Linked DNA regions of Coturnix japonica. The protein of the gene in region 1 purifies or fractionates together with the protein of each later gene. This does not show direct contact. Links are inferred from orthologs where the notes say so. Each region holds a gene or a part of one and is shown on either strand. Other genes may lie near its edges.

Region 1 (7,725 bases):
GATCACTGCAGCACATTTGTGATATTTTGCTTTCTTTCCATTAAAATAAAATGTAGGCATAATAGCTCTAGCTCTAATAGTTTTTCATCGAAGGTCTTGTGACTCCAGCTAGTTTACAAGAAGATGTAATTTCTGAAAATTTCTCAGCCTCTCCTCATAAGAACAATGCTCCAGGCCCCTCATCATCTTTGTAGCCCTCTCCTGGACTCCCTCTAGGAGATCCCTGTCCTTCTTGAAACAGGGGGCCCAAAACTGGACACAGTTCTTCAGATGTGGCCTCACCAGGGCAGAGCAGAATGAGAGGATCACCTCTGACAACCTGCTGGCCACACCCTTTTTAATGCACTCTGTAAAACACTGGCCTTCACGGCCACAAGGATGCACTACTTGCTCATGGCCAACCTGTTGTCCATAAGGACACCCAAGTTTTTCTCTGCAGAGCTCTTTTCCAGCAGGCCAGCCCTTAACCTGTGTTGATGTATGTGGTTATTCCTATGTGGTTATTCCTCCCCAGGTGTAGGACTGCACTTGCCCCTGTCGAACCCCATCAGGTTCCTCTCTGTCCAACTCTCCAGACTGTCCAGATCTCACTAAATGGCAGCACAGCCTTCTGGTGTGTCAGCGTCTCCTTCCTGCCACATATTGTCAAGAAACTTACTGATTTCTGTCAGGTCAGTGATGAAGATGTTGAAGTAAGTTTCAATTCTGGGAAACTGCAGTAAGGAAAATAAAGGATTTCAGTGCACTATATTACAAGGCAGTAGTTGTGGATTTTTGTTGTTTTTCTTCATTGTTTTTATTTCTCATTTATTTATTTATTTATTTATTTATTTATTTATTTCTTCAAAATGAAAACCAAAGTTGTAAGCCCAAGCCTAGGCTTTGGAGGGCTGCTGATCACCTTGCAGCCAGCCAGGCCTTGCACTTCACCATAACAACTGCACTTCTGGGGAGCTGATGCAGATGTATGTTTGTCTCAGTGACTGTCATTCTGGCCCACCATACTGCTGTGACAGTACTCACAGGACAATCTTGTGTCAAGTACTGTAGAAACAACATATTTAACTTTTAAAAAGGAAGATTTGAGATTTTCCATACCCCAGCCAGCCTTTGGTGATGGCAACAACATATCACTTTAATGAAAATGTTAGAGCCGCGTGGGGGGAGCTCTACAACAGCTGAGAGGATAGGAACACAGTGAGCTACAAGCAACAGGGTTTCATGGAACAAATGTGTCATCAAAACACTGTCAGGATATTTGCTTTTAATGTTTTCACTTTGGAACTCACTCCTCAGCCCCTCCTCTGGCTGCCCGCACAGAGGAACCAGGGGCACACTTGTCACTCTAGTGCCATATTGGTGGATTCACAACTTCTCATTCTGTTCAGAGGGGTGGCTGAAGTTGTAGGTGTGAGGAAAAGGGGAAACGATTCCATATCCTATCCCATTTATGCCCCACCCCTGGAGGTGCTCAAGGACAGGTTGGATGGGGCCATTGGACAGCCTGATCTGGTGGGTGGCAGCACTGCCCATGGCAGGGGGCTGTGATTGTGTGGGTTTTGAGGTCTCTTCCATCCCACGCCATTGTGTGATTCTGTGATTCACAAATCACCTACTCTTTTGCTTCTATTGTGACCTGGAGAAGCTTGGAGCTTCTCCAAAATCTATTTTGATACAGACTCAAGCCACAGCAGGAGACTGTTTTCTCCTATCTTCCCCCAGCTATGTCACAAGCAGGGGTTGAGCTCATAGTATACCTGCATGTCTCCAAGGGTTTACATAGTATCATACACATCTAAAGAAGCAGAAGAAAGGTCTTTATAAATAGAAGGACTGAAACATGATTAATAGCTCTCAGTTGCCAAAGCATCAGCAGAATATTAATAGTGGGGGTGCAGACTCTTGCCAGGGGAGGAGGTGTCTTCTCAGGACTAGTCTGGTGAATCTTTACTTTTCAAGCCGCTGTGCACATTAAAAATGTAGTGGCAAGTATCAGACATGAATTCCAGATTGACGACGCTGTAGGCAATGGTAACAAAGAGAAACAAAGGAGGGCACGGAGCTACGAAGGAAGCAGAGGCAGACAGAGTGGTGGTGCTTTCAGTTGCAATAGACAGGTACAGCTAATGCACGTTAAGGAAACCACTGCTGGACGTGGGGCGATGTGCTGCAGGAGCCAGCACAAAGATGCGAACACAACATGCATTTAGACTGAAATTAAAGCTGGCAATGAAGGCCGATGTTATTGCAGGTACCATTCTTCGGTTACCAGCTTCGGCACAACCTGATATTGCCTTTAACCATTTCTTCACCGAGCGTAAAATGAAACCATACGTTCACTACTGCATTTTCTCGGTCGAACTAAACTGTCAGACCCCGGAACACAGACGCGGGTTTATTTATTACTGAGAACACTTCATTCAGGGTGCTTTATTTTCCTGTAATCTCCGTTCGACGGAGACACCGAACCCCCAAAAGCGGATGGTGCGCTCCAGGCCCCGTCGCCATGGCGGCATCACGAGCGCGGGGTGTGGCGGCGCGGCACCATGGCGTCACCCGAGCGCGGCCCCCAGCGGCGGAGCCGGTTGTGGCTCCTCCCGATCCGCGGCGTCACGGTGGCGCGGCCTCCCCCGCTCTGCTCCGGCCGTGACGTCGGAGCGTCCCGCGGAGGCGGCGGCAGGTGGCGGCGGAGCGGCGCGAGCCGGCCCGGCCCGGCGGGTGAGTCCCGGCTTGGGTGGGCGGTCAGCGCTGACAGCGGCCGCCCCGGGATCGGGATCGGGGAGGGAGCCGAGGCCTGGCCGGGCGGTAGGCGCCGGCCCCAAACAAAAGGCCGGCGGGCGGAGCGGGCCTGCCGCGGCCCTGCGGCGGGCGAGGACCGGCGGGTGCCGCCCTCCTGTCCGCGCTGGAGCCCAAGTCCCGCGGCGTCGCTGTTCGCCATCGAGGGAGGAGGGAGGAGGCCGCGGCCCTGCGCGAAACACTGGGCCCGGCGGAGAGGGGAGGGCGGCGGGCCGGGTCTCGGCTGCTGTCCGCCCGCTGTCAGCGGCCGAGCCTCGCAGCCGGAGGGGGAGCGAGGGATGTCGGCGAGCACAACAGGAAGAGCGTGAGGAGCTGCGAGCGGTGCCGCCAGGTGCTTTTGTTTCCATGTGTCTGTGCTCGAGGTTTTTAATTGCATCCTTCGGGAGTGGTAAAGCGGGGCGGAAAAATAGGTCCTGCGCTTTGTGCTATATGTATTGTCACCGCTGACAAATGATTGCGAAATACTCGGTGAATACGAGGTTTTTCATGCTGTGGATGTCCGCTTTTTGCATGTGAAGAAACCCCAATTAAGGCGTCTTATTTCCGTCTTCGCATAACTTTTCTGCGACGTGAAGTAGAAATAGGGTAGAGCTTGTTGCTGGGAGCGCAGCGTGCAGGGGGTAATTAAAAGGGAGAATAGGGAGCGGAGCTCTAAAGTGTTCTGTCACATCGGTAGCGCTGAAGGTACAGCGCTGCGGCGTTGTTAGATGCTGCCTCTGGGCAGTGGGTTGCTTAAAAATAGGCCTTCAAGTGCCTCTGAAAACGCACAGCCAAAAGTGATCACTTGCGGTTGTACCGAAGGCACGGTAAAACCTGAATATTGATTTGGGTCACTTTGAGTAAATCTTAAATATTTTATGTTTGCGCAGAGTTGCTTTATAGCCCTGTGAGGTTTAACGCTGTGGCTTCTTTCCAAGCGAATCAAAGTACCGATTGTTTAAATGGCCGAGTGAAAGTTTTGTTCTTTTTGTTTCCTCTTAAATCCACCACATCCATGTAGATGTAATGGAATTGCCCAGAGAGATGAAGCTGCAGGACTTTTGAAGGCTGTCGAATAAGGTTTGGAAGGCTCTTGGTGTTGCTGGGGAAAAATCTTTCTTGGAATCGATGATTATTTTTTTTCCTCCTTCTGTGCATGTTAATTTATATGTCACAATGCTCCTGTACTTCATTTCTCTCTCAGAAGCAGCGATAGCTTCAGATGAGCCCATTTTTGCTTTGTTTTCCCACAGGAATTTTGTCAGTGCCCTCTTATTTGAGTGCGAAACTGAGGTTTTCCTCACTTAAGTCAAATGAAGTAGGACACGGGCTCCCAGTTATAGCACAGCAGAAGAAATTCAGTTTGAATAAATATGTAGCCATTCAGTATCAAAATGGTTGACTGTTCTGCACTTGACTGTTTTTCTGTAACTCGGACCCACACCAATATACAAGCTTCTTAAAATTAAAGTGTAGTAATGCTGTTTAAAGGAACGACAGGGAATTTGAAGCCTTATCACATCATTGATTTCTGAAAGTATTTTAAGAGAGAGAGAGGAGGCAGTGAGATTATTTACCTGCTGTGCTGTCCGATGCTTGCAGGCAGTTGCAAAAACACCAGACAGGTTCCATACCTTTAGCTAATACTGTACTTGTGACAGTAGGCCTCCAGATGGGAGATATATATATGCATATATATATATAATTATTATTTTTTCTCCCTTATGAAACAGAACACCACCAGCATAAAGCAACTACTACCATCCTTCCTTCCTTTACCAGCATTTGGCTCACGCTGTCCTATAGGGAAGAGTTCTGGGATCCTTTTTCCTCTGCTTCTACCTTCCCCCACCCTACTTCCTTAGTAACTGAGATATATGTTAGGGAGCCCGATGGTAACAGTCAAGTATTGAATCACAGAAGAACGTTTACCTTTGATCATTTCTTTTGTAGCGCTGCACCTGTTCAGTTTTCAGCCTCTGGCAGTCAACGAATGAGTTTGTGCTAACTGTTGTAAAGTGGTCTGTCTGGTGTTGCAGAACTTGTGCGATCACCTTTCATTTGAGGCAGGGTTTAAGTGATAGCCTTCAGCGAGTGAGAAGCTGGCTTTAGTTGAATTTACCAGTGGTGTTTTGTTTTCTTCTTTTCCTAAGAAGATAAACTTTTATTTACAAAAATTTCCTAGGGCCGTAAATAACAAACAGTGCACTTATATTTAGGATCTGGCTTCTTATGTTTCTGGAAATGTGTTTATTGTTGCTATTTTTCCTATCACTTGTGTCTCCAAAATAGTAGAAAAGTGAGAAAAATAATGCCCTGGCTATGATACGCTACTGGGAATTTGATAGGCAGCAGCTGACTGATCTGACAGGAGATGGTTTCACTTCATCTTGGCCAAGTGAAAGCTTGATGATTTTATCAAAGACCTCATGCCGTTTTTGGATGACGGGTGTCCTAGGAGGGACACTGCTTCAGCATCCTAACACGGTGTGGAAGAAGTTGGCACGAGGTTCCCTAGCAGGCGTCCTGACAGCCTGCCAAGGAAACAAGGGGTGGTTAACGCTGGCTGAGCCACAGTGTGGCACCAGTTGTTGCCCAGCTGGCGATGCCAAGTTTAAATTCCAATTCCCAGTGGGTCGGATTGTCCTTCATCTGTTGTGGGCTGAGTGTTTCAGAATCAGTGTGCAATAGTCCTCGTGGGCTTGGTGAGGAAGGGACACTCACAGGTTGCCACAGATAGCGTAATTCCTCATATGAGATGCTTTTCTAGCATAGGAAGTTAATTGCTAAGTGTAGAACATGGCTCTCAGCCACTTTACTTCAAAGGAGCAGGAGTCCAGGAAGGGGTGTGTGTGTGTGTAACCACAGATGTCTTTTATCCCGTTTAGTAAAATTTCTAGGACTGGCTTATTAAATAAATAACAATGTAATGAAGCACGGAGGTTACCTGAAGTCAGTATGTGAACTAGTTCTCTTTAATAGCTGTGCAGCAATTACAAAGTTGCTGTGCCATAATCCTATAATTATGCCCTAATTGGATTCTTCTAGGTATAATTACACACGTTAACTACACGCACACACTTTTTTTTCCCCAAGAATCTGTCAGAAATGACCCAACCTCCTTCTCCCATCTCCACATAACATTTGGTCTCACAATGCGCTACCTCTAATAGCGGATTGCAAGAGGTAATAGATAAAAGGCTTCAAGTGAAGCCCACAGATGTACCATAGAAAGCCAGCCCTAAGATGAAGGACTGAATGCCACATTCACAGCACTGAGCTTGTTGCAGCTGTCTCTTTGATCATAGCAAACGCCATATCTTGTCTGAGCGGATTAGTAGAGCCAGAATTTTAATGTGATTGCAGCTCTCCAGATTGATGTGCAAAGGAACGATGAGGGGAGAACCATCTTTCGAAAAGGTGCTAGGACAAGTGGATAGGCACGTTAATTTTTGCATTTTTTTCCTTAGGAACGGGCTCTAAAAATAGCTGCACTGAATGCCACGTGAAGCTCAGCTGTAAAGAAAATAATGTTTGAGTAATGTGTCTTAGAAGTCATCTGAACATTTCTTTCTGATGTTGCTAGTGATAAGCGTTCAGACGTTGGATAGACTGTGGCACAGAAGGCTGTAATACAAAGTGTTCCATGTTCTTTCAGGGAGTTGTTGCTCCTCCATTTCTTTGTAGTCTGTATGTTAGTCTGATATGTATTTATAAGCACTGTATTTATGCTGAAATGATCCTTTCCCTGAGCAAATATTATAAGGAAGGCCTTATTCAACAGACTGCTTGAATTGTGGAGAGTGCCTAGGGAAAGTCCCACGTTTACATGCACTGTTTTCTCCTCAAACAGCTGCCTGTTTAGAGACGAGATACAAGAGTAGATAGATGGTCCTTTGGGATAATGGGATATGAAGTGGTTTTTTGCTGCATATGGATTTGGGTAGCTGTTGTTACATTCTAAACTCCCAGAATGCAAGAAGTCGAATACTAGAGGCTAAATTTGCATTAACATAACGTATTCCTATCTTTGATCTCATTTCTCCTTCTGTGTACATAGTTACTTTGTGGAAATGAGGCATTGACTTAGTATAGCTAAAGATAATTGCCTTTTGTAATACTTTAGGAAAAGATAACTTGCATAAATTAAGGTGTCAAAATAATTGACGTCAAACTGTGGGCCAGAACTGATAATTGCAAAAAATAAGACAAAGCCTGATGATAACATTTCTGTACATTGAAAACAGCCCTTGTCAGGTAAATGATAGTAATTCCATTTCTCTAACAGGACCCTGGTGGTGTATTTTGCTTGCTCATACCTCTGTACAACACTGTTACAATGGTGATACTGTTTGCTTTGCAGTAGCACTCATTGAATCCGAAACACAGTAGTGTAGCATTGGGTAGGACAAGGCAGGAGTGAGCCAGCCTTTGGAAGGAGGACCTGCCATCCTAGCTGGAGGCATCTGAAGACAGGACATCTTAGTCCTGTGACGTGCTCCAGTAGAAATTACTGAGAAGAAGTAAGCTGCTGCTTTATGAAGGGACTTATATGTGCTAGCTCCTTGACAGACTGCCTGCTTGCAGTTAGAATTGGACCTGGAATCTGAAAAAATTACTCTGTTTTGGGGTGGCTTTATGGGAATTTACTTTTTCTTCTGACAGAGCCCCAGTAGGCCAGGGGAATTTTCATACAGCTCTTATACATTACCTGGTCCATAGCAGTGTACTTTGTGTGTTGCTGAAGGCACCCTAAGCTTACCCAGTGAAATATAGGTTTAAATATTAATTTAAAAGAAAAAGATATTAGAGGCAAGAGGAGAGGATGTGTGATCTGGCAAGACTGTAAACCAGCTTCTTCTCAGTTGGCTTTGGGCTGTATTTCTATTAAAATGCAATGTTAAATGCTTGTTGCTCCTTTTTTTTTTATACCTGAACTGCTTATCAAAA
Region 2 (7,878 bases), on another chromosome or scaffold:
CGTGGTCACGGAAAGAGATTTTAATCCATATTACTCACAGTGACTGTTTCCCTCTTCGTATCAGGCTCCAACATGTACATTCTTTCACTCCACTCTATAAGCAACCCACACTCACCTCGTATCTATCAACTGCTTGATGATATCCGAAGTGCTTTTAGTCTCAGACCTGTCTTCTGTAACCTCTGCAGCAACCTCCGGGATAAACGTGGGATCTTCATGAATGTCAAGAGAACGCATGAGGGTGAAGTTGTTCAGCCTGCAAGAGAGAGAGAGTGCTAGAAGATGCAAGCTTCTCCATGACTAATATTTCCATGCTGTTCCAAGTGAATTTTACCCAAGAACATTTCGTTGTAGCAGTCTGCTCCCACAGCAGGGAGTTGCAACTGTTACAAAATAATCTTTCACACCTTTCTAAAGCCTCGCTGAAGGCAGCACCAAATCTACCCTGCTTGCTTAACTGAGCCTCCCACCTTCTGACATAAAGCCAGCCAGCCTCCATAAATCCAAGCTGGGAAAGATCTGGTGAAAGTTTTCCCATTCACTCTAATTAGATACATCATGCACAGGGAGAGGAGAGGAGAGGAGAGGAGAGGAGAGGAGAGGAGAGGAAGCCATACATTCGAGCACTAAGCCTGCTAGAACAGGCAACTCTTCAGACTTGATCCATGACCTGCCTCAACACAGTCTGTTTGCAATCAAATGTAACGGGGATTGGATCAGCACAGGTTCAGGGCCTGGAGTAAAACAATGAAATCCAAGCTCAATCATAGATGTTAAGAAACAATCTTCTGCATAACAGCTCACTTGTCTCTCAAATTATGAGACTTCCCTCTTTAAAAAGGTCATTTCAGGTAACTTTTAATAGGAATGGAATGGAAGAACCTTTAAAAACAATCTTGGAGGAGATAAAACTCCCCTCTTACCTTAGTAAGAGCGGCAGCAACAAGATCTGTCCAAAAGCCTAGAAGAAGATAAGCAGAAACATTGATTTACAATAGCTTTGACCTGAGCATCTTCCTCAGGGAAGGAACGCTAAATGCACTCACAATTGCTGCTGTTTCCGAGCACCCTGCAGAGCACGCACTTGTATTTCAGGCCACAACACTGACCTGAAATGCTTTCCCCACCCCATGCACATTTATAGAATCATAAAGACTGTATTTTCCTGCCTATCCTGCAGGAACATTCATTATTACTTCCCTGACTCAGCTCCAGAAAGCCTGCAGTTGCAGGCTGCAGTGCTGTTAAGAGGCATCTACATAGCTCCCACCAGCGCTCAGAGTTATGCAAACACTGGATAGGGCAGAAGCTTACTATCATTTCATTTATCTCTCTGTTAACATCTTTCCTGCAGTAAACTGAGTCAACTTGGAAAAGCATGAGATCTGTAGGCAGCAGGCAGCTGAAAGCAGTCTCTGGACACCACGGATCCCAGTGTAGCAATACCAGCAGTCCCAGGGAGATCAGCTTTGTTCCAGATTGCTGTAACAGCCCAAGAATCAGCTTCCAAAACAGGTGAAGGGAGTGCGGCTCCACCTCCCAGTGTGACTCTGAAGCAAGGCTCCCACTCCTACATACGTGAAGCGATATGTTGCTTCACACGTTGTGTAAGAACTGATTTCTATCTGATAAGGCATTGCTCCTAACCTACATGCAGTGCAACAGTAAAATCCAGAGTGAGACTGGGGATCATAAAATCATAAAGGCTGGAAAGACCAATAAGAATCTCCACTACAATCATCAGCTCATGCCTGTGACTGCTCTAGAACATGTCCCTGGATGTCACATCTACCCTTATCTTGAATGTTTCTCAAGGACAGCGACTCCTCCACCTCCCTGGGCAGCCCTTGCCAACATCTCACCACTCTTTCTGATAAGACATTACCTAATATCCAACCTGAACCTAATATCCAACCTGAACCAACCCCTGGCACAACCTGAGGCCACTTTCTGTCCTTCTATTGCTGTTACCTGTGAGAAGAGGCTTAAGCCTCTTCACTGCAGTTTCACTTCAGGTAGTTGTAGTGAACAATCAGGTCTCCCCTGAGCCTCCTCTTCTCCAGACTGAACAATCTTGTTTTCCTCAGCCATTCCCCATAAGACTTGGGCTCCAGATCCTTCACCAGCTTCGTTGCCTTTCTCTGAACACACTCTGTGGCCTTGATGTCTTTCTTGTAGCAAGGGGCCCAAAACTGAACACAACACTAAAGATGCCACCTCACCAGGGCTGAACATGGGGGATAATCACCTCCCTGCTCGTGCTGGATGCACTGTTTCTGATACCAACCAGGATGCCATTGGCCTTCTTCACCACCTGGGCACGCTGCTGGCTCACGTTCAGCCAAGCATCGACCAACCCCCCCAGGTCCTTTACCTCCACACAGCTTTACAGTTACTCTGTCCCAAGCCCGTAGCGTTGCCTGGGGTTGTGAAGCACAGGAGCCCATGCCATCATGGAATGGCATAGATTGGAAGGGACCTTAAAGGTCATTTAGTTATGTCTCCATCCAAATGGAATGGCATAGGTTGGAAGGGACCTTAAAGGTCATTTAGTTACGTCTCCATCCAAATGGGATGACAGGAAAGGAAACAAGCCCAGTGTCGCACACCAGACACAGCCATAAAGCAAAGAACTGAAAGCCGTTCCAGTCACTACACCCAAGCACAAAACCCCTCACAAGGTCGCTCCTGAGACAGGTATGCACCAAAACAAGGCTGTGTACGACCCCAAAGCAAGATGCAGAGCAGAGCAGACCCAAACCCAGCCTCTACATCTACAGAAGCCGACACCAGCAGCCCCCACAAAGGGAAGGAGACACCCACACGAGCGGCTGCAGCTGCACCTGCTCCAGTCAAACCCCAAAGCAATAGGAGCCTCCATATGTGAGTCCAATCTGAGGGGCTGAGCGATCCCAGTTCCTCTATGCCCATGGTGTCCCACACCACCCGGCTCAACCCGGCAGACATCTTGTGCCGTCTCCCGCTCACCGTGTTGGCCGTGTGCACGAAGAGCCGCAGCCAGAAGCCGCACAGCCGCGGTGCCCACTGCAGAGAGGAGGCGAGACGTGAGCGCCGGACCCGCTCCCCGCAGCCCCCCGCCCCGTCCACCCCACCCCGCTCTCACGGCGTCCCGAGGCGGCCGAGAGGCTGCAGCCCGGCCCGGCTCCCGGCGGTGTAACGTGGCGGAGGCGCTGCCCGTGTACCGCCGTACGCAGCACAGGTACAGGGCGGCGGCGGGCAGCAGCGCCCCGAGCAGCAGCAACGCCAGCTCCATCGCGTCGTTACCGGCCCAACACGGAACCGGCTCCGCGCTATGGCGGAGGGGCGGTGCTCGCCGTCAACCCGCCCCCGTGAGGCGGGACCGGAGGGTTTCCCGCTCGGTGAGCGCTGCCCGCCATGTCACGCTTCTTCCAAGCGCTGCGCCGTGCCGGTAGGGAGCGGGAGGGAGGGATGGGAGTGCAGCAGGACGACGTGGGCCAATGGGGGCTGACAGGTCAGTGCGACCGGGGACGGGAACCAGGCTGGTGGTGTGTAGCTGTGAGCACACCGACCCCGTGTGCTCCCCCACAGTGTATACGAGTGGCCACGGGCCTGTTCTACCTGTGTGCAGGGTCACCAACCAGCAGCCCAGGCTGCACAGAGCCACATCCAGCCTGGCCTTGAATGCCTCCAGGGATGGGGCATCCACAGCCTCCTTGGGCAACCTGTTCCAGTGTGTCACCACCCTCTGATTGAAAAACTTCTTCCTAATACCTAACCTAAACCTCCCCTAAATTCAGTCTGTCTGACAGGAATGCCTGATTTATCTCACCAGATTCCATACACAGGCCTTTGTAGTGACTTGAGAGCATTTTTGTGCCTACAAGTTCCTGAATATGGTTTGATATAACCAGCTTGCAGTGTTTCTGCGCTCTAGGAGGAAGCCTGGCTGCTTTTACTGTAAGGCAGCTGATTGGGAAGGTCAGAACTGTGCAGGACCTGCTTCTGGTGGCTCCTATCTGTAACAGTACATATAGAGTGTTGAATGGCTATGTGACATTAACAGATTGCTTTTATTCACAGGCATTAAGCTTCGTCCGTATCAATTAGATGGTGTAAACTGGCTGGTGCAATGCTACCAAGTCCAGCATGGCTGTATCCTGGGCGACGAGATGGGTCTTGGGAAGACTTGTCAGGTGTGTCATCTTCTGAAATATGACTTTTGCCTTAACTGTGGCTCAGGGTTCCCACAGCATGCAAAAAGCACCCTAAGCATGTAAGCAGCCACATCCTGAAGTCCTTATTCATAAGAGTGAGCTCTTTTGGTTCATTAATCACATAAAACCCCTGCGAGGTTCTGAACAACGCTTAGTAGCTTATAAATAACATTAACTAGTTAACACAGGGGGTATGGAGCCAATGGTGTCATTCTGACACCTGAAGTAGGATGATTTTTGAGTCTGTCAACATGTGGATTAAAGTTGAGTCCATGTAGATACTCTTCAGGGTTTTTTTAGTTTTATTTTTTAAATGGGATCCGTTTTTGTTGGAGTGAATGACTGTGGTTTGGTTTCAGACAACAGGTCTTAAATAACAAACTGGCAGCTTTAGAAAGTAGATCTCTGGGACTGTTGGAGGGATGTCTTTGGAAGAGGGTTAGAGATGCTGAGGTAATGTTTTAGGACGTCAGCTTTTATGTCACTGATGATGGATCTCCTTTGGTGTTCTCTCAGCTCTGATTTGCGTTGGAGAACTTGTGGGAAATCAGCTATAAACCTCAAGGGGACAGTTTATGCAAGTTCAGGAATTTCCTTGTTATTAAAAAATACTTTTTTATTTCCTTGCCTTCTAGACTATTTCACTACTTCTTTATTTGACAAAAAAACTAGCGAACAAAGAGAGATCCCTGATACTTTGTCCTCTGTCTGTTCTGAGCAACTGGAAGGAGGAGCTGGAGAGGTGAGTTTAAACAGCTGTTGTACTCGTTATAGCCTTGAATGGTGAGTTTCAAAGACTCTCTTCAGATATGCTCAGTCTAGCAATTTTCTTCCTTTCAAAAGGAAATAAAACATAAAGAGGGAAGCTACCAAACAACAAATTGATGTGTACGCTGCTTGCAGTTAATCCATAGCCTATACAGTGCTGTGATACCCATGCGTTCATCCAACTTATATCCAATACACTGGATGACTGTCAGTAGATATACCCTCACTAGCTCTGTGTTATTTTCTAACCCCCCATGCTCAGCCTCTCTTAGGCAAATTCTGCTGAAGACAGCCAGGATTCTGTATGATAAAAGGTAAGACCCCAAGCTGAATAGTGTGTTTCTTGGCATGCTCACACATGCATCTAAAATACCTTACATCCATGCATGCAACGCATATTCACTGGGGTACAGCATCTGATGGTACGTTTGCTGTGCCCAGAATCTGTATGTTTTTAGGCTTGAGCCCAGACATTGCTTTTAAGAGGAGCAGCTGAAAGTTGTAGATTAGAACAGATGTATTTCTGTGTGGTTGTTGAGCAACGCTGTGTCAGAAACAAAAATCATTGAGGTTAGATTTTGAAATGATCTGGCCTGATTTGGATAAACAAGCAGCTGTAATAGCTGGAAAAAGTACAGTCTAGTATGACTTAATATGGTGAATTTCAGTAGTGAACAGCTATGTCAGAGGAACAATAGGCAGGCATTAGGAGTGGGATTAAGTGAGGAAGAACTTTATGGTTCCATCTCTTCTTCCACGGAACTGATTTTATCTGCTTTCACTATGGGGGCTAGATTTTTGGAGCCCTGTCTTCATCTGTACTTTAGCTACCTCTGGACCAACTCTTTGCTCCCAGCTGGAGAATCACTTGCTTCTCACGAGCTTTTTAAGTTAAGAATCACAGATGGACCATTAGATTGTTTATCCATCATCTGCATCATGCTTTGAGACCTAGGATAAGCCGGTTAGTATGGCATTTGTCCAAACCAGAGCCAGCAGCTGAGGTGCTAAGCTGGGATGCAAGTTAATTCCTGCTTGAGTTAGATTCAAGAGCTGAGATCCAGCCACATTTCCCAGGAGAATAAGTTGCTGTCTTTCTTTTGCTGTCTTCCTCTTGACGACAGGTTTGCTCCAGGTCTCTCTTTTGTCACGTACATCGGCAACAAGGAGGAACGATACAAACTGCAGCAGAACGTGAAAGAGCAACCTCACTTCCACGTGCTCTTAACAACATATGAGGTACACGTTGTCTTCGTTGCTTCAAAAGAGAACTCAGGTTTTTCCTTGCCTTTTCCATTCCTCTGTACATGACGCTTTACCACTTGCCCTCTGTACTCTAACCTCGCCCAGTGATTTTCTACTCTGCAGCCCACATCACCTGCCCATCTAAGTTGCTGCAGCTTTTGTGTCCTGAAGATAATCTAATTTGACCCTAGCTTTACCACGCAGCTGTATCACACCTTGAATAAACAAATCAAAATCAGAAACATCTTTAACTGATGCTACCTGGTATTTTCATTGCCTTTCTGTGCTGCCTTACAGATCGTCTGCGTTTAATGGAAAATCACACATATATGCGTGATGCTTATTAAGATTCTATTAATTGGTCACTGCAGGAACACTTTGAAAGAGCTTGCCTATGTTTGTTCCTCTTTTGCCTGCCTTCCTCAGCCAAAACCAGACTGTAAAATGATGAGGTTTCTATTAAAAATCAATGGAATTTGGGGCTGAATCCAGTCAGTACCTTACAGAGAACCAGCAGGGTTGCTTCCTTTATCACTGCTTTGGGTTCTGCCTGGCCTGGTGCTTAGTTATATGGAGTGGAAAAAAGCCTTTATCTTTCTCTTATGACTCATTTCCACTCAGGTGTTACTTTGTATCAGTGCTTTGATTTCATTTTAACAGCCTCTTAACAGACGCATCAATTTGAAATTAAATGAGGAAGCTTCTCACAGCTTCTTTTTTCCCTGCTTGATCTCCTCTTCCCTTTGCCCCTTTGCTCTCCCTCTCAAGTATTTTACCATTTTCTTCATCTAGGAGCCATGACCTGTGCTGATCGCTCTGAACCTGCATCTTTTTCCACTATGCACAAGCCAGGAGTGCAGTGATAAGCCTTGTACTGAATGTGATAAATGGAGGTGCTTATACTAAAGCAATGCTGGCAAAACAATCAACCATATGGAGACTTAACTTGTATTTTTCTCGTCTCTGCTATTCTGATGATAAAATTCTGTGCTTCTTAAGCTTATCAATTGACCCCGTTTCTCTTCCTGCTTGAATCCGAAGTTGGGCAGATAGCGTGAGCACTTTAGGACATTAGCAGGTCAGATTAATCCACTGAAGCACATATTTGCTTAGAATCAAGAAGACTGTAATACAATACTGAAGGTGCATGGTGTTTCTTACAGGGTGTGAATGATACGAACAAACATTGCAGACTTGTCTGAAAATGAATTCTCTGAGGTTTTACTACTGATGCTTTGCCAGAGAAGCATTAAAATGAAGAGTTGCTAAAGCTTGTGGTTACGTTATCTGTTATGTTACTTTCCTTGGTAACTGACTTCACTCCAACCCTGCGCTATTTCACTATAGTTTGCAATTAGCGAGCAAGATACTCTCTTTTGAACTATGTGTTAAGTTGTAAGTAACAGTTTGTTTTCTTTCACTGCAGATCTGTATGAAAGACGCAGCGTTTCTCAAATGGTGAGTGCAGGTTCTTCTTATTATTATTTAAATTTAATTCTTCAAGTCTGTCAGAGATTTCTGAAGTGTGTGTTTATCTAGATGCAAGATTCTCCATGTTTCACAAGAGCCAAATGTGCTCTTCAATTATGATCAGAGTCCTTTACCCAACTTTCAGTGAAGAGCCCTTAATGTCCCTTAGGATATATGTGAAAAGAGCCCTGGGGAAAAT
Region 3 (7,190 bases), on another chromosome or scaffold:
CAGTGATGCTGCAGAAGCAAAAATCTTGACTTGATTTCAGTCCAGATGAGACCTTTTAGTTGGTTTCTTTGCTGTCATCTCAGAAGCTGACCCTTTTTACCTGGAAAAAGCATGAGCTCTTATTGGATTAGAGCTTCAAATAAGTTTGTCTTTTGAATGAATCAGAGCTCAATATTTTACTGTTGAGCTCAGGACACACCTACAAAAGGTGCAATATTTACACCTCTGAGTGGGTGGAGGAGATAAAAGCTGAGCAGCTGTAGTGTTCTGAGCACATGCAGGCAAATTAAGAGAAGCAAAACTTGGATTGGGTATCAGACACAGATGTAAAGGATTGATGGTTGATGTGTTCAATTAAGTTAAAGTAGCTTTGTTTTAAAATCGCATCATCTGAATTTCTTTTGCTCTTTCCTCTCCACCTTTCTGAGGCTGAAGCCTGCAAGTCAATAGAGTATGCCATGAAGAAGTGCCCCAATGGCATGTATGCAGAGATTAAATACGATGGTGAGAGGGTGCAGGTCCATAAAAACGGAGATCACTTCAGTTACTTCAGCCGGAGCCTCAAACCCGTCCTTCCTCACAAAGTAAGCACCTGCAGATTGTCTGTTCTTGTATCCTATAAACATGAGTGGGTTTCACAGGTTCCTCTGGGCAGGGAGGATACCTTCTGTTGTCTGCTTTTTTTTCTTTAATTCCTACAAGTATTCAAATCTAAAAAACCAATGCTTAGTAGAACTGTAATCAGTTTGTTTCGGTGTCTTTTAAGACCTTGAAGCTACAGTTAACCTACCTGCTCTCGAGTCCTCTTTATATGTTGCAGTTGGTTTGGCTTGATGCCGGTTGAGTGACTTTGTTATATTTGTTCAAGTCTCTTTTTCTATTTATAGATGATGTTAAGGTCTGTGCTGCAGTAGAAAATATGCACACGCATCTCTCAGACGCTTCTGGAGAGAGCATCTGCACTGCAGTGAGTCCATCTCTTCAGTCAGACCCCTTTCTGTGTTCTATTCCCTCAAGGTAGCTCACTTTAAGGACTTCATTCCCCAGGCTTTCCCTGGTGGGCACAGTATGATCCTGGATTCAGAAGTTCTTCTAATTGATAATAAAACTGGCAAACCACTTCCTTTTGGATCTCTTGGTGTACATAAGGTAAAATCTATATATACGTATATATAAAACAAGTCCTTTGTGGCCAGAGGCTGTTATTCTGCTGTCTTAAACACACTGGCATGCGGTCAGTTATCACAGAATAATGTAAGAGAGCTGGTGCTTCCCAGAGAATGTGGGGGGAAATCTAAGATCCCTGGGAAGGCTGCTATTAAAGAAAAGGTACCCTTATAATACAGTAGATTTGATATTAACTTGATCAGAAGCAGGATAGGGAGAAAACTGCAGCTTATGGTAAGTGTTTAAAAGAAGAAAGGTCTTGGAAGAATTTGCAGTTCTGTGATTGCTTATAGCTGCCTATAGAAAAGCATAGCAGATCAGGAGACCAGACTGATGCAGACATGGATGTAATCCATAAGAGTGTTGTGCTTTGACACATTTGTTCTAAATGTGTGTTCTAAGAATATTTCAGTCTTACAGAAGTAGCATCTTTTTGTGTGTTGTTTTTAAAACTCCCTGCTGCTGTGAGATTTTTCAGTTCATCTTGATTGTTTTGCAGAAAGCTGCTTTCCAAGATGCCAACGTCTGCTTGTTTGTGTTTGACTGCATCTATTTCAACGACGTCAGCCTGATGGACAGGTATGTATGTGTGGCACGGTGTGAGAGCAGCCTGCTAAGCTGCTGAGCATGGACTTACTGGGTTGCAGTACCTCTGCAGAGGGAGCAGCTCGCTTTGGCTGCAAGGCTTGGCTGTTTACTCCTGTAAGATTAAGAGAGCATGGGGGAATCTTTGGTGCTCCATCCTGCTCTGCTGTTCCAAAATATCAGAGTAAATGCATTTCAGCTAAACTCAGTGGGTTTCAGTGCTCCACTCATGTCACTGAAGCTAAGTATTCTTATCATAGATTTGTTATATAGCTTCTTCCTGAAGGAGCGTTAAAAGAATTTACTACCTGCTCTGAAACTATGGGATAAGTCATTTAACTGTTTAAATATACCTTCTGAAAATTCACGTGCCTGCTGCTCCACGCTGAGGTTGCTTTATGTCCTTAGTATTCTGTGCTCTGTCCTAGGCCTCTGCGTGAGCGTCGTAAATTTCTACATGATAACATGGTTGAAATCCCCAACCGGATCCTTTTCTCAGAGATGAAGCACGTCACAGTGAGTTGACCACATCTGCTGTTTAATTTAACACTGCACTGTAAGCACTTCCATGGTCCTTTACTATGTGACCCTTTGTATAATTAAGGCTGCTGATCTGGCAGTTCCTGTCAAAATAGGCTGTTTCTGGTCTGCGTGCAGAACTTCTTGGGCTGATGTCTCAGCTACAGCTGCTTTAGTATGTTTTTAATGTGCATATCTTTTTTGGCTTTCTTAATAAGGTTGCAACTTTGTTGTTCGGAGCAGCTAAAGCCTGTCGTAGTTTCCTCTACTGTGCTGCATAGAGAAGACTAAACAATGACTGAAGAGAGCAGAGCTTCCAGTCTCCAGACTGGCCACTCCAAGCTCTTTATTTTTGTAGCACAGATACATTCTGAGTGCTTAAAGCTGCATTTTAGACAGCAATAAGCCCAATTTTCTCTTTGATCATTAGGCACAAGCCTTATACTCTACTGCTCCAAGTGGAGAGATTGAGCAATACAGCCATTTGACAGGCTTGAGCTTAGCACAGTGCCTTTCCTTTTCAGAAAGCTTCAGATCTAGCAGATATGATCACCCGAGTCATCCGTGAGGGACTGGAAGGACTGGTGTTGAAAGATATAAAGGTAAGTTTGCATCTCATCTTTACTGGTGGATGTTGGGATTTAGGGGGAAGAACAGACCTCTCTACTTAATACTGAACTACTTAATGTGAGTTTAACTTCAGCCCTATTCTGCTTTAAGAGGTTTCTGATGGTGCCTGGAGGGGATGTACAGTAACTTTACCTGATTCTCAGTTACTGTAGTTTTTCTCTGGGATTTTAGTATTGTTCTTCTCTTGCCTGTTTTCTGCCATCTGGACAGAGCTCTACTTTTGTGAGCTTCATGATGCGTCTTTGCACCATCAATTCAATTTATATGCACCTGTAGTGTGACACAGTCCAGCAGCAGATCACTGAGCTGGTAACCAGAACTGCATTTTAATCACAGCTCTGCTGCTTCTCCCTGGTGTGATACTCAGCTGAGCAGTCTTGAAACACCTTTAGATTCCTGTAGATGCTGATATCCAATCCAGGTTACTTCCTGTACATCTGAGCACTGCAGAGCTCTGTTATTCATAAAGCAAGGGCTGTTTGAGGAGATGGCTGCCTACAAAGTCATCTCCTTTCTCACTGGGAGGTTTTTGCTTTGTTTTGCACAGGGTAATTATGAACCAGGAAAGCGGCACTGGCTGAAAGTGAAAAAGGACTACCTGAATGAGGGTGCAATGGCTGACACAGCTGACTTGGTGGTGCTGGGAGCTTTCTATGGGAAAGGCAGTAAAGGTAAGTTTCTGGTGTTAACCTAAGTCAGATTGGTTGGTTCAGGAAAATCCTAAGCTTTTTCCTCTTCCAGGTTTTCTGTAGCATTTGTTTTCCTGCTGCAATAAGAGTGGCTCTCATAGTGACTGTCTGTTGCAGCCCATCACATCTGAGGCCACTGCAGGCTGCCTGGCTTCACTGTGGCATGGCTGGCAAAGAAAAAACATTAAGTCTTGGGTTGGCCTTTCATACAGTAACAAGGCTCTCTGTTCAGCTTTGTGTGTGAACTGATGCTGAGAAACCATCTCGAACCGATGGCCTTAAATTTCCCACATGGAGATGGGTTTGGGTTCATTACTTTGATTTTTGAAATGCTGTAGGTTGTCCTGTAGAAGATATGAACTGCTGTGCTCTCCCTTCCCCAAGGTGGGATGATGTCCATCTTCCTCATGGGCTGCTATGACCCCAAGAGCGAGAAGTGGTGCACTGTGACCAAGTGTGCTGGTGGCCACGACGACGCCACCTTGGCCCGTCTGCAAACAGAGCTGGACATGGTGAAGATCAGCAAGGTGAGATGGGCTATGGCAGGGAGGCAGAGGAATGCTCAGCACAGGACTTGGTAAAAACATCTTCCTGCTGAGCTGTGTGTTGGTTAAATGCAGAATTCAAGAGCTTTGCCAGGAGCAAAGAGTGGCTCACTTTGAGTTAAATCAGGTAAATTCTCTATAAACCTGTATGTGAGAACTGAGGGGTAGGTGTGGCCATCTCCTAACGATGAGCCACTGCTTGAGATTTGTACTCAAAACACTGAGCAGGAATTATGGCACCATCTGGTTCCTGCTGAGGCAGTTTTAGTGGGAGAAGCAGAACTTTCTTGGCATGTTGCAGTTGGTGAAGACAGCCACTGGATGGGGCTGTGGTGAGAAATGGCAGTCAGGATGTGGTTTTGCTGCTAGAAGTGCTGAACTTCGAGACTTGCATCAAAGTGCAAAATCTGGTTTTTCAAGACCTAGCATAAAAACAGCTGAATGTTAATATTAACTTGAGATCCTGAAGGCCATTGGCATCCAGGTTATAGTCTTAAAAATGTGTGATTTCATATGAATTACAATTGGAGGGACATAGTGGTGTTCTGTATGGCATGACAGTGAGTAGCAGCTGTGTTGCAGGTAATCTTTTGTGACTCTAGAGGAGAAATTGCTGCAGATCAGTGCACTGCAAGTTTCAGCAAGTTTAATCTGTACAAAGGCAATTAAATACATATTTGCCAATCTACTATGCCATTATCTTTCAGCAGCCTCCTTTGTTGGACTCGATTCCTGTATGATCACAGGTGTTATCTTCTTTTTGTGCTCTTAATAGGATCCCAGTAAAATCCCAAGCTGGCTGAAAATTAACAAAATCTACTACCCAGACTTCATTGTCCCAGATCCAAAGGTAAGTGTTGTCATGAAATGTTTCCCAGCCCAATACAGCAACCTACTTCTTATATAATTGTACAGATTATACCTGTTACGAAATTAGTATTCATGCTTGGGAGAGGAATTTAAGCATGAGTTTTTATCTCTGAATCCTGCAGGTGCATTTGAGACTAAGAGCTTCATGAGGCAATCGTTCCTGCAGCGCCTCTAGGAAATGTTTTTGTACATTAAATCCCTCCCAGAAGTGAACTTACTGAAAAGAAGCAGTTAGAGTACAGTTAAGTCAGTTGAAGTACAATTGTTACCCAGAAGTTGCTACTCTTGTTATGCTAAATTTAACAGGGTGCTTTGTGCCATTTATGCGTGATAGGATACGAGGAAATTGGCAATATGTATTAATGGAAGATCTCAATTCACTGGAATGCAAAATAAATAGAAGCCTCCTGGTCACCTTAATTAAGAAAGCATATACATGGAACTTTGTTGTGCTGGGAGCAGGAGCAAGATGTTGTAGAAGTAGAGGAACTCAGATGCATTAAGTTTAGTTCATGAGAGTACACAAGAATGTGACATAGCTTCCTTCCTCGCTGCTGTGTTTAGAAAGCCCCAGTGTGGGAGATTACAGGGGCTGAGTTCTCCAAAGCTGAAGCCCACACTGCAGATGGGATCTCCATTCGCTTCCCTCGCTGCACTCGCATTCGAGATGACAAGGACTGGAAGGCAGCCACCAACCTCCCGCAGCTGAAGGTGAGTTAACATGGCTTGCTTCTCTGCAGCGTGCTTGCAAATAAGTTCTGACAGCAGCCTATATTTAAAAGATAAATTCTGATAGGGTATGTGCTGAGGACATCTGCTGACTAGCACCTCCAGTGGCGTGTTTTGTTCCGTTTATTCTAGGCTCAAGTTGTTTTCTGGACTATTTTGATGTGAATCTTATTTTTTTCCATGGTTCTCTTTCTCCTTGAGTCTTGAGAGCTGTTGTTGTGTGCTTCTGGGGAAGGTTTTAGCTGGCAGTTAGTTCTATCAGCTCTTGTAACTGCCTTCATGGTGAGCAATTTCCTTCCTGAAGGAGCTGACCTTAATTCTCTTAAATGTTTATGGTCATTCGGTTTCTCATTAATTGCTGAGATTGCAGGAGGCATCTGGGAAGTGACTAAGGGTAGCCTGGCCTGGTTCCATAGCACAGGGGCCAAATGGCAGTCTGCCCTGCTCCAGGGCTGCACTGCCCCATGCAGCTTCTATGCCTCCTTCAGTGATAGAAACCAGTTGGCCTGGTGCCACCCCAAGCAGTAAGTCAGCTGCCCATGTGCTCTGTTCTCAGTCTAGTCATTGTCATTTGGGCTGTCTTCGCACTGCCTACAGGGACACTGACAGCAGATGTAAATGCTTGTCATGCCATCGAAGAAAGGATTCAGTCTCTCTGCAGGAATGTTTCTGGCTCACTGTGCAGGTAGGGGGGAAGAGAGGTAAAATACTCTCGGACAGAATGTTGGATGTTGGCCATTTTTCAGTCCAGAGAGCCAGGCTCTGAGGAGTTAGTCTGACTTGCTTACTGGTAGATGATATTAATGTGTGGCTTCTCTTAATGTTGAGCTGCTGGGTAGAGAGCAGAGAGCTTGAACATAGCTGACAGAAAAATGGTGACAAAGAGGTGCAGGAAGAAAAAAACGTAAGAGCAAATGCTTCATGGGGTGGGGATAGAAAGTGAGAGGAGCACATGAATTACTGCTTATGTCCGCTTATGAGAGGTTTCACTTTGGCTAAAGGGAATGTTTTGTTTCTGCTCGGACAGGAGCTGTACCAACTCAGCAAAGAAAAGGCTGATTTCAGTGTTGTTGCTGGGGAGGAGGAGGAGTCCACAGCTGGCAGCAGTGGAGAGAATGAGGGAAATTCCAGGTCTTCCACACCACACAAGATGACTAAAACTCCTCCTAAGTCCCCTGCAAAAGCCATGAAACCAGAAGGTAAGGCCTCTCCCCATGGAGGGGAACCTCAGGATGTGTTCTTCACCTTCTACGCGCTGCTTTTATAAAGATGTTTTAGTTAATGGGCAGAGCTGGTTTCAACCCTTGGTTTGGCTTGTGTTGGTGTCTCAGTTATAGACACCACCAAAATTAAACATGATGTAATCTCTGTGGGACTTGCAGTTCCTTTTTATCTTTAATCACAGTCCTTAACAGACTGTGTAAGACTGGTCTGAGCAGCAAACCTGCTGCTCCTG
Region 4 (7,190 bases), about 39 Mb from region 1:
TTGCTGTCCTAGAATTGTTGAGTTTGACCAAGGAGTGGAACACCTCTCCTATGAAGAAGGCTGGAGAAGCTTCGATTGTTTAGCCTGGAAAAGAGAAGACTCTGGGGAGATCTTGCTGTGGCCTTTCTGTACTTCAGGGGATCTTATAAGCAGTGGAAACTGACTTTTTATATGATCTGATAGCGATAGGACAAGGGGGGGATGACTTTAAACTTCAAGAGGGGTGATCTAGGTTGGATGTTAGTGGGGAATTCTTTACTCAAAGAGCATTGAGGCACTGAAACAGGTTGACCAGAGAGGGTGTGGGTTCCCCATTCCCGGTGGTGCTCAGTGCCAGGTTTGAAGGGGCCCTGGGCAGCCTGAGCTGGTGGCAGCCCTGCCCACATCTGGGGGTTGTAACTAGATTATCTTTAAGATCTGTTCCAACACAAGGCATTCTCTGGCGATTCTCGAGTAGTCATAACCTTCATTGCTATCCCTTCTTATGTGTGAATAGGTATATGTATGCTCGTGGGTCCTGAGTGTGCCTTTGGAGTAACTAGTACAGATGTGGCTGAATATGCAACTCCCGGTGCTGTAGCATTTTGTGTGCTGTTCTGCCAGATCATCGTTATCCTGTGGAAAACCTCTAAGTGTGCCTGATCTAATTGAGGCAGCTGTTGTTGTAGAGCCAAGTACGTGTCTGTGATGTAGCACTGAATTTTCAAAAGTGGTCTTGCCACTTACTCAAGACTCTGCAGATATCAGTAATCTGAGCTGGACAGGCATTTAAATAACTTGTTTTCAGTGTGTATGCTCTTTATTTTTTCTCTCTTAGAAAGAGAAAAGGAGAAGAGGTAGATGGAAATGTGGTTGCAAAAAAGAAATCGAGAAAAGAAAAAGAGAAAGAATCAAAGCAGGAAAAACAGCTGAAGGTGAGTTTTAGCTGATTAGGTCCTAAAAACTGCCTTGCTAGAAGAATGCAGTGTCAGACACTGAGTGAAGAGCTGTGGTACTTGGAGAGGAACTGTACCTGCTGCCTAGACAAAGCAGAGTTACAGTACAGCTGGTCCTCATGTCTTTGCACAGGAGGTGGCCTGATGCAGAGCCATTGCTGAAGGCGGTTCTCCCTGCTGTTGTCTCCTGAAATACAGGAAGGAACTTCTCTAGCACTTAGGCTTATTGGATTTAAATAGATTAGGCTAAGTGCCTTCTCTCTCTCAGAGAAGCTGGTTTCGTGATCCTTCCTATTTCATCTAACTATAGTGGCTGAAGCTCTGATACCAAGCACTGTTTCGGAAGAGCTTGGTGACCAATTAATAGCTCACAGTAAAAAAAATTAAGCAATGGCAAGTGTGGAATCAGATTACTGAGAAGTTGTATCTCTCTCACCCTATAAGAAGCAGCGTTCAGTTGTTGAATACAAAGTGTGGTAGATCGCAGCTTTTCTGCCTTTTAATTTTGGAATGCTGTGGGAGAAATTCCTAATGGAGCTGTAAGAATTTTATATTCATTAAAAGTTCAGCACAGGTACTTTCCAAGAAAGAAAATAATAAGCAGCTTTGCTAAAGGTAGCGCTCAATGAAGTTGTAAAGAAAATGACATTTCTTCTCTGTCTAACCTTTTCACCTTTTGTAGAAAGGCCTAAAAGAATGTGCAGGCTTATCTGAGCCATTTCAGGTTTCTGATCTAGCAGAAATGCTTCTTATCCTGAGTGTCTTAAAATAAGGACAATGTCTTCCAGCACTTGTGGTTGTTATTTTAATACAAAGCTTTAATGAGGTGATATCCCCACTGTTGGCAGTGTGAACTGGGTTGGTGATGTTTACAGAGGCTGTTGAGAATTCACTGAGAGTAGGAGTGTGGTGGAAAAACAGGTTCCCCTCCACCTAAAAGCCAACTGTTTTACTATAAAAACTTATATCTTTTTGTATGGGGTAGTGCTTTAAAAGTTGTTCCACAGTCTTTCTGCTCACGTATATAATGCAGAAGCAGAAGAATCCGTAGAGCCAACCTTTCCCTTGTGATCTTCTAGTGAGAGTACTTCCAAAAGCTATCACGTGCGTATATATTCATAGTAAAATCTGAAGCATATGGCTTTAAAGACCTGATCTAGTTATTTGGATAAAATGTGTGGTTCTTCCAGTGGTGAAGCTGCTGGCTCTTGGTGCTCTTCACCATGCTGTGGTTATGGCGGGATGTTCACAGTGTCTGTCTGTGAGTACCTAAGCTGACAGGTTTTGTCCACAGGAGCAGACAGAGCTGATCTGGGGCATCAAGGATGAGCTGAGGAAAGTCTGCTCCACAAATGACCTGAAAGAGCTGCTGATCGCCAACAAGCAGGAGGTGCCTTCAGGGGAGAATGCGGTAAGTTGGTCTGTAGTCACTTTGCGTGTGTGCTGGGTCTTCAGCATCCCAACTGATCTGTATTTTTGTCACTGACTGCAAAAGCAGATTGGCTGTGGTGCTTCACATTGCCTCCTCCTAACTGTTACATTAGGCTAAAGGAAGCAATAACTTTTCTAGTTATTTTCTGGCATGCTTTCTTAAAAAAGTCACATTTCAGACTGTGTAATTTGCAAAAGGTCTCTCTCTTTCACAGGCACGTGTCACATGAAGCGTTTGTGTTTATTAAGGCTGTAGGGAGCGTGGGATGAGATGTGGGAAGTGTCTAGACTCAAAATGGCCGAGAAAATCTCTAGGCAGGAAAACGGGGGCTTGTCTGAGCCTACGTTCCCACCTACGTACTTGTGCTCAGATACAGTAGCTCATCTCTTCCTTTCCCTCTCCAGCAATGCTGTTTGGTGATGCTCTGTGTGGGGGTTATGCTTTCCTGAATGCCCAGTTTTGTATTCTTCGTTGTTTTAGATCTTGGACCGAGTGGCAGATGGGATGGCGTTTGGAGCTCTGCTTCCCTGTGAGGAGTGCAAAGGGCAGTTTGTGTTCAAGAGCGATGCTTACTACTGTTCAGGGGACATTACTGCCTGGACTAAGTGTGTGGCTAAAACACAGACTCCCAACAGGAAAGACTGGGTAATCCCAAAGGTGGGTGTTAACTCTACATGTGATGATCTGAAGCACGCTTCTTAATTGATGCTTCCTGTTGTGAGGAGTTTAGATGAGCAGCAGTCAGCGCTGGATGCTGGAGAGCAAAGTGTGCTGCAGTGCTGAGTGGCAGGGGATCCTGTTGTAGCTTCATCTCTCTGGAGGCAGTTGATATAGAACAAAGTCATCCCTTTTCCCAGTAACAGTAAATTAAAAGAGATATTACTGATTTGATTTGAAACCAGTCACTTACTCTCCTATAGCTTAGGTTTCTGAGTTAATGAAGTGGATATTTGCCTATCTTTATATAAGTGTCTCGGAAATCCTTTGAGACCTGTAGTAAATGACACAATCTGGCCAGTGCTTAAGTTGGCTTTTAAATGTTACAGTAGTATTTGTTGTTTTAATACTGTGTGATTCTGTCTCACAGGAATTTCGTGAAATTCCGTATCTCAAAAAATTTAAGTGTAAGAAGCAGGACAGGATATTTCCTCCTGAGGCTGCAACTGTCAACTCTGCGCCGCCTCCATCTGCATCTGCTCCTTTGACAGAGACTCTCTCTGCACCCCAAGGTCAGTGGAGTTCAAGGTGGTGTGTGATGCCATTCCTATCCAAAAGAAGAGGCAGGACCTTTCATGCTGTCCAGTTATCAGATGAAGGGCAGCTAAGCAAAGTCGCTAGCAGACAGTTCTGAAGCAGACTTAAAAAATAAATCAAAATTAAACCAAAAAAAAGAAATGCAAGCAAATAATGTGCCCACACATGCATCTTTTCCAGCCTTCCATTCATTCTGTTTGCTGTGTGTGCTGCGCTTTGTCATCTCCCTTAGAGAACGGGAGCTTTCTCCCACTCATTAGTCAGACCTGCTTGGGCTCATCTCCCTGCAGGCTGTGCTGATTGTTGTGTGTGTGGGATGCTGTCTCTTATTATTTGTGCTTATTATTTGTGTGGTGGACTCTATGCTTGTTGCTGATGAGCTGTTTGTTTTTGAACCCCTAGACAAACCACTGACCAACATGAAGATCTTGACTCTTGGAAAGCTGTCCAAGAACAAGGAGGAAGTGAAGAATATTGTGGAGGAGTTGGGAGGAAAGATGACAACAACTGCTAACAAGGCTACCCTGTGCATCAGCACACAGAGTGAGTAGCCTTGGCAGTCACTGATAGCACTAGATGCATGTACTTGATTAGAGCGCCTTGTGGGTCAGTGTTTGGGTTAGGGAGTGTGTTTGCACATGCATGAGGTCGTGGAAAAGTAAAAGGAAATGTGAGTTGTTTCAGTTTTACTCACCTAGCAAAAATTAATCGTGGGTTGTGCCATAAAGGCTGGACCAGTCAAGTAAAAATTAAGTGTTCCTGTTCTAGTTCAGTCTGCAGCTTTGTACGTGGTAGAAATGCATCTCCTCAGAGTTTTTCACAGTCCTGAATTGTTGTCAGAAGTTGAGGCTGAAGTCTTGAAACCTCACTATTTTTTGTTTGTTTGTTTTCTTCCCTTTCCTGCCTCTGCAGAGGAGGTGGAGAAAATGAGCAAGAAGATGGAAGAAGTGAAAGATGCCAAAGTTCGTGTGGTCTCAGAGGAGTTTCTTAAGGATGTGAAATCTTCCAGCAAGAGCTTTCAGGAGCTTCTCTCTCTCCATGCCATTTCACCTTGGGGTGCAGAGGTGAAAACAGAGCACCAGGAGGTGGCGGTGGATGGGAAGTGCAGCAAGCCCCCAAATATGAAGAGTGCTGGGAAGATCAAAGAAGAACAAGGTGAAGAATGAAGTTGTTGTTTCTCCAGGGGCCTGTTTATTGCTCTGTGTGCACAAAGAAAATCTGGGTATAGTCCAGCCTCATCCTTTCCTAGAGTTCTCTCACTGTTTGGTTTTTTTCCCTCCCTCATAGTAAATTTTAAATAATGAAGATTTAGGTAAGATCAGGTTTTAGTGAGTATGAAGTTATCTCTTGACAGCTTCTGTCTCAGTGGCACTTTCAGAATCATAGAATCGTTAAGGTTGGAAAAGACCAGTAAGATCATGTAGTTCAACTGTCAGCTCATCACCACCATGCAGTAGTCTTCACAACTGCCACAGCAACCTTGCATTATTCATGCTGGAATGTGAATAAAACCATTAGATGTGCTCAACTTCTTTTTCCATAGCCCCCAAGCTTTTAGCTTGTGTTGTTCAGTTTTGTGTTATTGCCACACAAACAGTAGAAGGATCTGCGTGAGTACTGAATGTCCCACGTGCCCAGTGAAGTTTTAAAATCCCACTTCAATACAGCCACAAACGTGACCTTCTGTCATGTAGTTGGAAAAATGATATTGGGGTCAGGAGGAAGGAAGGTAGATGTTATCTGGGGAGATCTTGGTTTTCATTTCCTTGTGGGGGGAGGCAGCTGTGAATTAGCTGCTAAAGGCAGGTAGAAAGCCATTGAAGTGCTGGGGGTATTGTACTGGGAATCTGATTTGAAGTCTCATTAAGGTAATAATTATGCAAATTGGGAATTTATATCTTGAATCAAGTCAAACTGTATTGCCTTTGAAGGAAAAATAACTTCTTATCCCTGCAGGACCTAGCAAGTCTGAAAAGAAAATGAAGCTAACAGTTAAAGGTGGAGCAGCAGTAGATCCTGATTCTGGTAAGTGCAAACAATAGCACCAAAGTCTTCAGGATGCATGGCTTGTTTGCAGCATTCTTATTTTTATCTTTCTGTGGAAGTAAAAGGGTTTGCAGTCATTGATGTAAAAGTTAAGGGGGCTGTAAAAGGAAGCAGAATTCTTAAGATAGCTTTTCTCACTATCGAAAGAAGGCTATTGATTGACACTTTAAAGCTTGGATGATCTAGGATATTCCAGTGCATCTTTCAGGAGGTTCATTTAAACTAAGCTATATTCATTTTTCAGCTTCAGAAACATGTTGGAGGGGTGGATAAAGACTTAGGCAGCAGTGCCTGGCATAAGCGTTTGCCTCAGGACTCTTTGAGCAGAAGCAACTGATGCTGCTTTCCAAATTGATAATGTACAGGCATTGTCCTTAAAATTTGTACTGCTGTCCTTCGAATTTGTACTGCAACCAAGGCCAGCCTTCGTTTTTTTCAGTCTTTTTTTTAATGTGACACCTGTAAAGTTATGTCTCTCTTGAGAATTCTTCTAGCCAGTCACGCAGTGTTCAGTGCTAGACTCCTGGTTGCCCTTTCTCAAGTGTACAGTTTTTCTCAGGTCAGGGTTGAGGTTCATTCTAGTGCACCTGAAACCATGTACCTGCAATGTGTACAAAAGTAAGATTTTAATAGATTTTACTGAGCATGTTACCACTCTTCTTTCTGATATTTTGATAATTTTCTCGCAATTTTGAAACACTTTTGTGAACATGAATGTAGGAAAGAAACCTAAAATGGTAACCTCTGTATTCTAATTCTGTTCCTTCTTTGTAGGTTTGGAGGATTCTGCTCATGTCTTTGAAAAAGGTGGGAAGATTTTCAGTGCAACTCTTGGCCTGGTGGATATTGTGAAAGGAACAAATTCCTATTACAAACTGCAGCTGCTAGAGGATGACAGAGAGAGCAGGTGAGTTCAATTTTCCCCTGAAATGACTTTGTTTGCTTTTTTTCCTACTGAGTTCTGGAATTTTGGCTTCTACAAAAGGAAGAAATAAGTAAAATGTTGCTGTAAGGAGTTATGGATAGATAGATATGTTTGTTTTAAAAGGTGGGAGGAGCTAAGGGGGAGCTGTTGAATTGTTTGAATTCATTTGCGCATCGTGGGATGAGTGAGGTGCGTACAATGGATATTCAATTAACCTAGTCCTAAGAAGACAGGAGGGTCTCAGTGCTCTGTGACTGACAGCAGCCCATAAAAATACAGGAGATTTTTCTGTTTTAACATCCAGGAGCCCACTCATAAGGTCTGTGATGTCGGGAGTCTTCCCCATATTTGTTGTTTTTTTTTTCCCAAATACATGAACTGAAAAGTCTGAAGATGTGTGTTTGTAAAATATTGACTCAAGTGGTAATAGCCTCTTTTTTTCTTTCCCCTTTTCTCTCGTGCTGTGTGTGCAATCATCTTCAGAGCTGTACGTCTGGTGTGTTTACAGCAGGTGTTCTTTACACCTGTTATTGGACATAGATGCTGTGGTGGCTCTTCTGTTGCGTTCTTGCAGAATGTCTCCTTAAATTAACAACAT

The links.
Region 2: the proteins of RNF146 (region 1) and CHD1L purify together in Homo sapiens (co-immunoprecipitation; 3 studies listed by BioGRID and IntAct, counting the BioPlex papers as one, with this or other methods). This does not show direct contact. The link is inferred for Coturnix japonica from reciprocal best matches to the Homo sapiens genes RNF146 and CHD1L.
Region 3: the proteins of RNF146 (region 1) and LIG3 purify together in Homo sapiens (co-immunoprecipitation; 3 studies listed by BioGRID and IntAct, counting the BioPlex papers as one, with this or other methods). This does not show direct contact. The link is inferred for Coturnix japonica from reciprocal best matches to the Homo sapiens genes RNF146 and LIG3.
Region 4: the proteins of RNF146 (region 1) and PARP1 purify together in Homo sapiens (affinity purification with mass spectrometry; 4 studies listed by BioGRID and IntAct, counting the BioPlex papers as one, with this or other methods). This does not show direct contact. The link is inferred for Coturnix japonica from reciprocal best matches to the Homo sapiens genes RNF146 and PARP1.

Annotation. Positions count from the first base shown.
Region 1 is NC_029518.1:53,754,873-53,762,597, reverse strand, and holds the start of RNF146 (E3 ubiquitin-protein ligase RNF146), read left to right. Parts: upstream 1-2,597; 5' UTR 2,598-2,718; intron 2,719-2,799; exon of another isoform or gene 2,800-3,127; intron 3,128-7,725. UniProt on the Homo sapiens protein: E3 ubiquitin-protein ligase that specifically binds poly-ADP-ribosylated (PARsylated) proteins and mediates their ubiquitination and subsequent degradation. May regulate many important biological processes, such as cell survival and DNA damage response.
Region 2 is NC_029516.1:72,144,930-72,152,807, reverse strand, and holds the start of CHD1L (chromodomain-helicase-DNA-binding protein 1-like), read left to right. Parts: upstream 1-3,380; 5' UTR 3,381-3,396; coding exon 3,397-3,493; intron 3,494-4,062; coding exon 4,063-4,175; intron 4,176-4,829; exon of another isoform or gene 4,830-4,831; coding exon 4,832-4,938; intron 4,939-5,226; exon of another isoform or gene 5,227-5,278; intron 5,279-6,088; coding exon 6,089-6,203; intron 6,204-7,635; coding exon 7,636-7,667; intron 7,668-7,878. Other genes in the region: fatty acid amide hydrolase-like, read right to left, coding at 116-256, 924-961, 2,989-3,045, 3,125-3,274. UniProt on the Homo sapiens protein: ATP-dependent chromatin remodeler that mediates chromatin-remodeling following DNA damage.
Region 3 is NC_029534.1:3,394,070-3,401,259, reverse strand, and holds part of LIG3 (DNA ligase 3), read left to right. Parts: intron 1-428; coding exon 429-584; intron 585-1,017; coding exon 1,018-1,149; intron 1,150-1,666; coding exon 1,667-1,746; intron 1,747-2,180; coding exon 2,181-2,268; intron 2,269-2,795; coding exon 2,796-2,873; intron 2,874-3,448; coding exon 3,449-3,572; intron 3,573-3,974; coding exon 3,975-4,117; intron 4,118-4,910; coding exon 4,911-4,985; intron 4,986-5,569; coding exon 5,570-5,716; intron 5,717-6,761; coding exon 6,762-6,933; intron 6,934-7,190. UniProt on the Homo sapiens protein: Isoform 3 functions as a heterodimer with DNA-repair protein XRCC1 in the nucleus and can correct defective DNA strand-break repair and sister chromatid exchange following treatment with ionizing radiation and alkylating agents.
Region 4 is NC_029518.1:14,821,599-14,828,788, forward strand, and holds part of PARP1 (poly [ADP-ribose] polymerase 1), read left to right. Parts: intron 1-817; coding exon 818-914; intron 915-2,229; coding exon 2,230-2,346; intron 2,347-2,847; coding exon 2,848-3,024; intron 3,025-3,454; coding exon 3,455-3,596; intron 3,597-4,023; coding exon 4,024-4,164; intron 4,165-4,533; coding exon 4,534-4,776; intron 4,777-5,577; coding exon 5,578-5,646; intron 5,647-6,441; coding exon 6,442-6,574; intron 6,575-7,190. UniProt on the Homo sapiens protein: Poly-ADP-ribosyltransferase that mediates poly-ADP-ribosylation of proteins and plays a key role in DNA repair.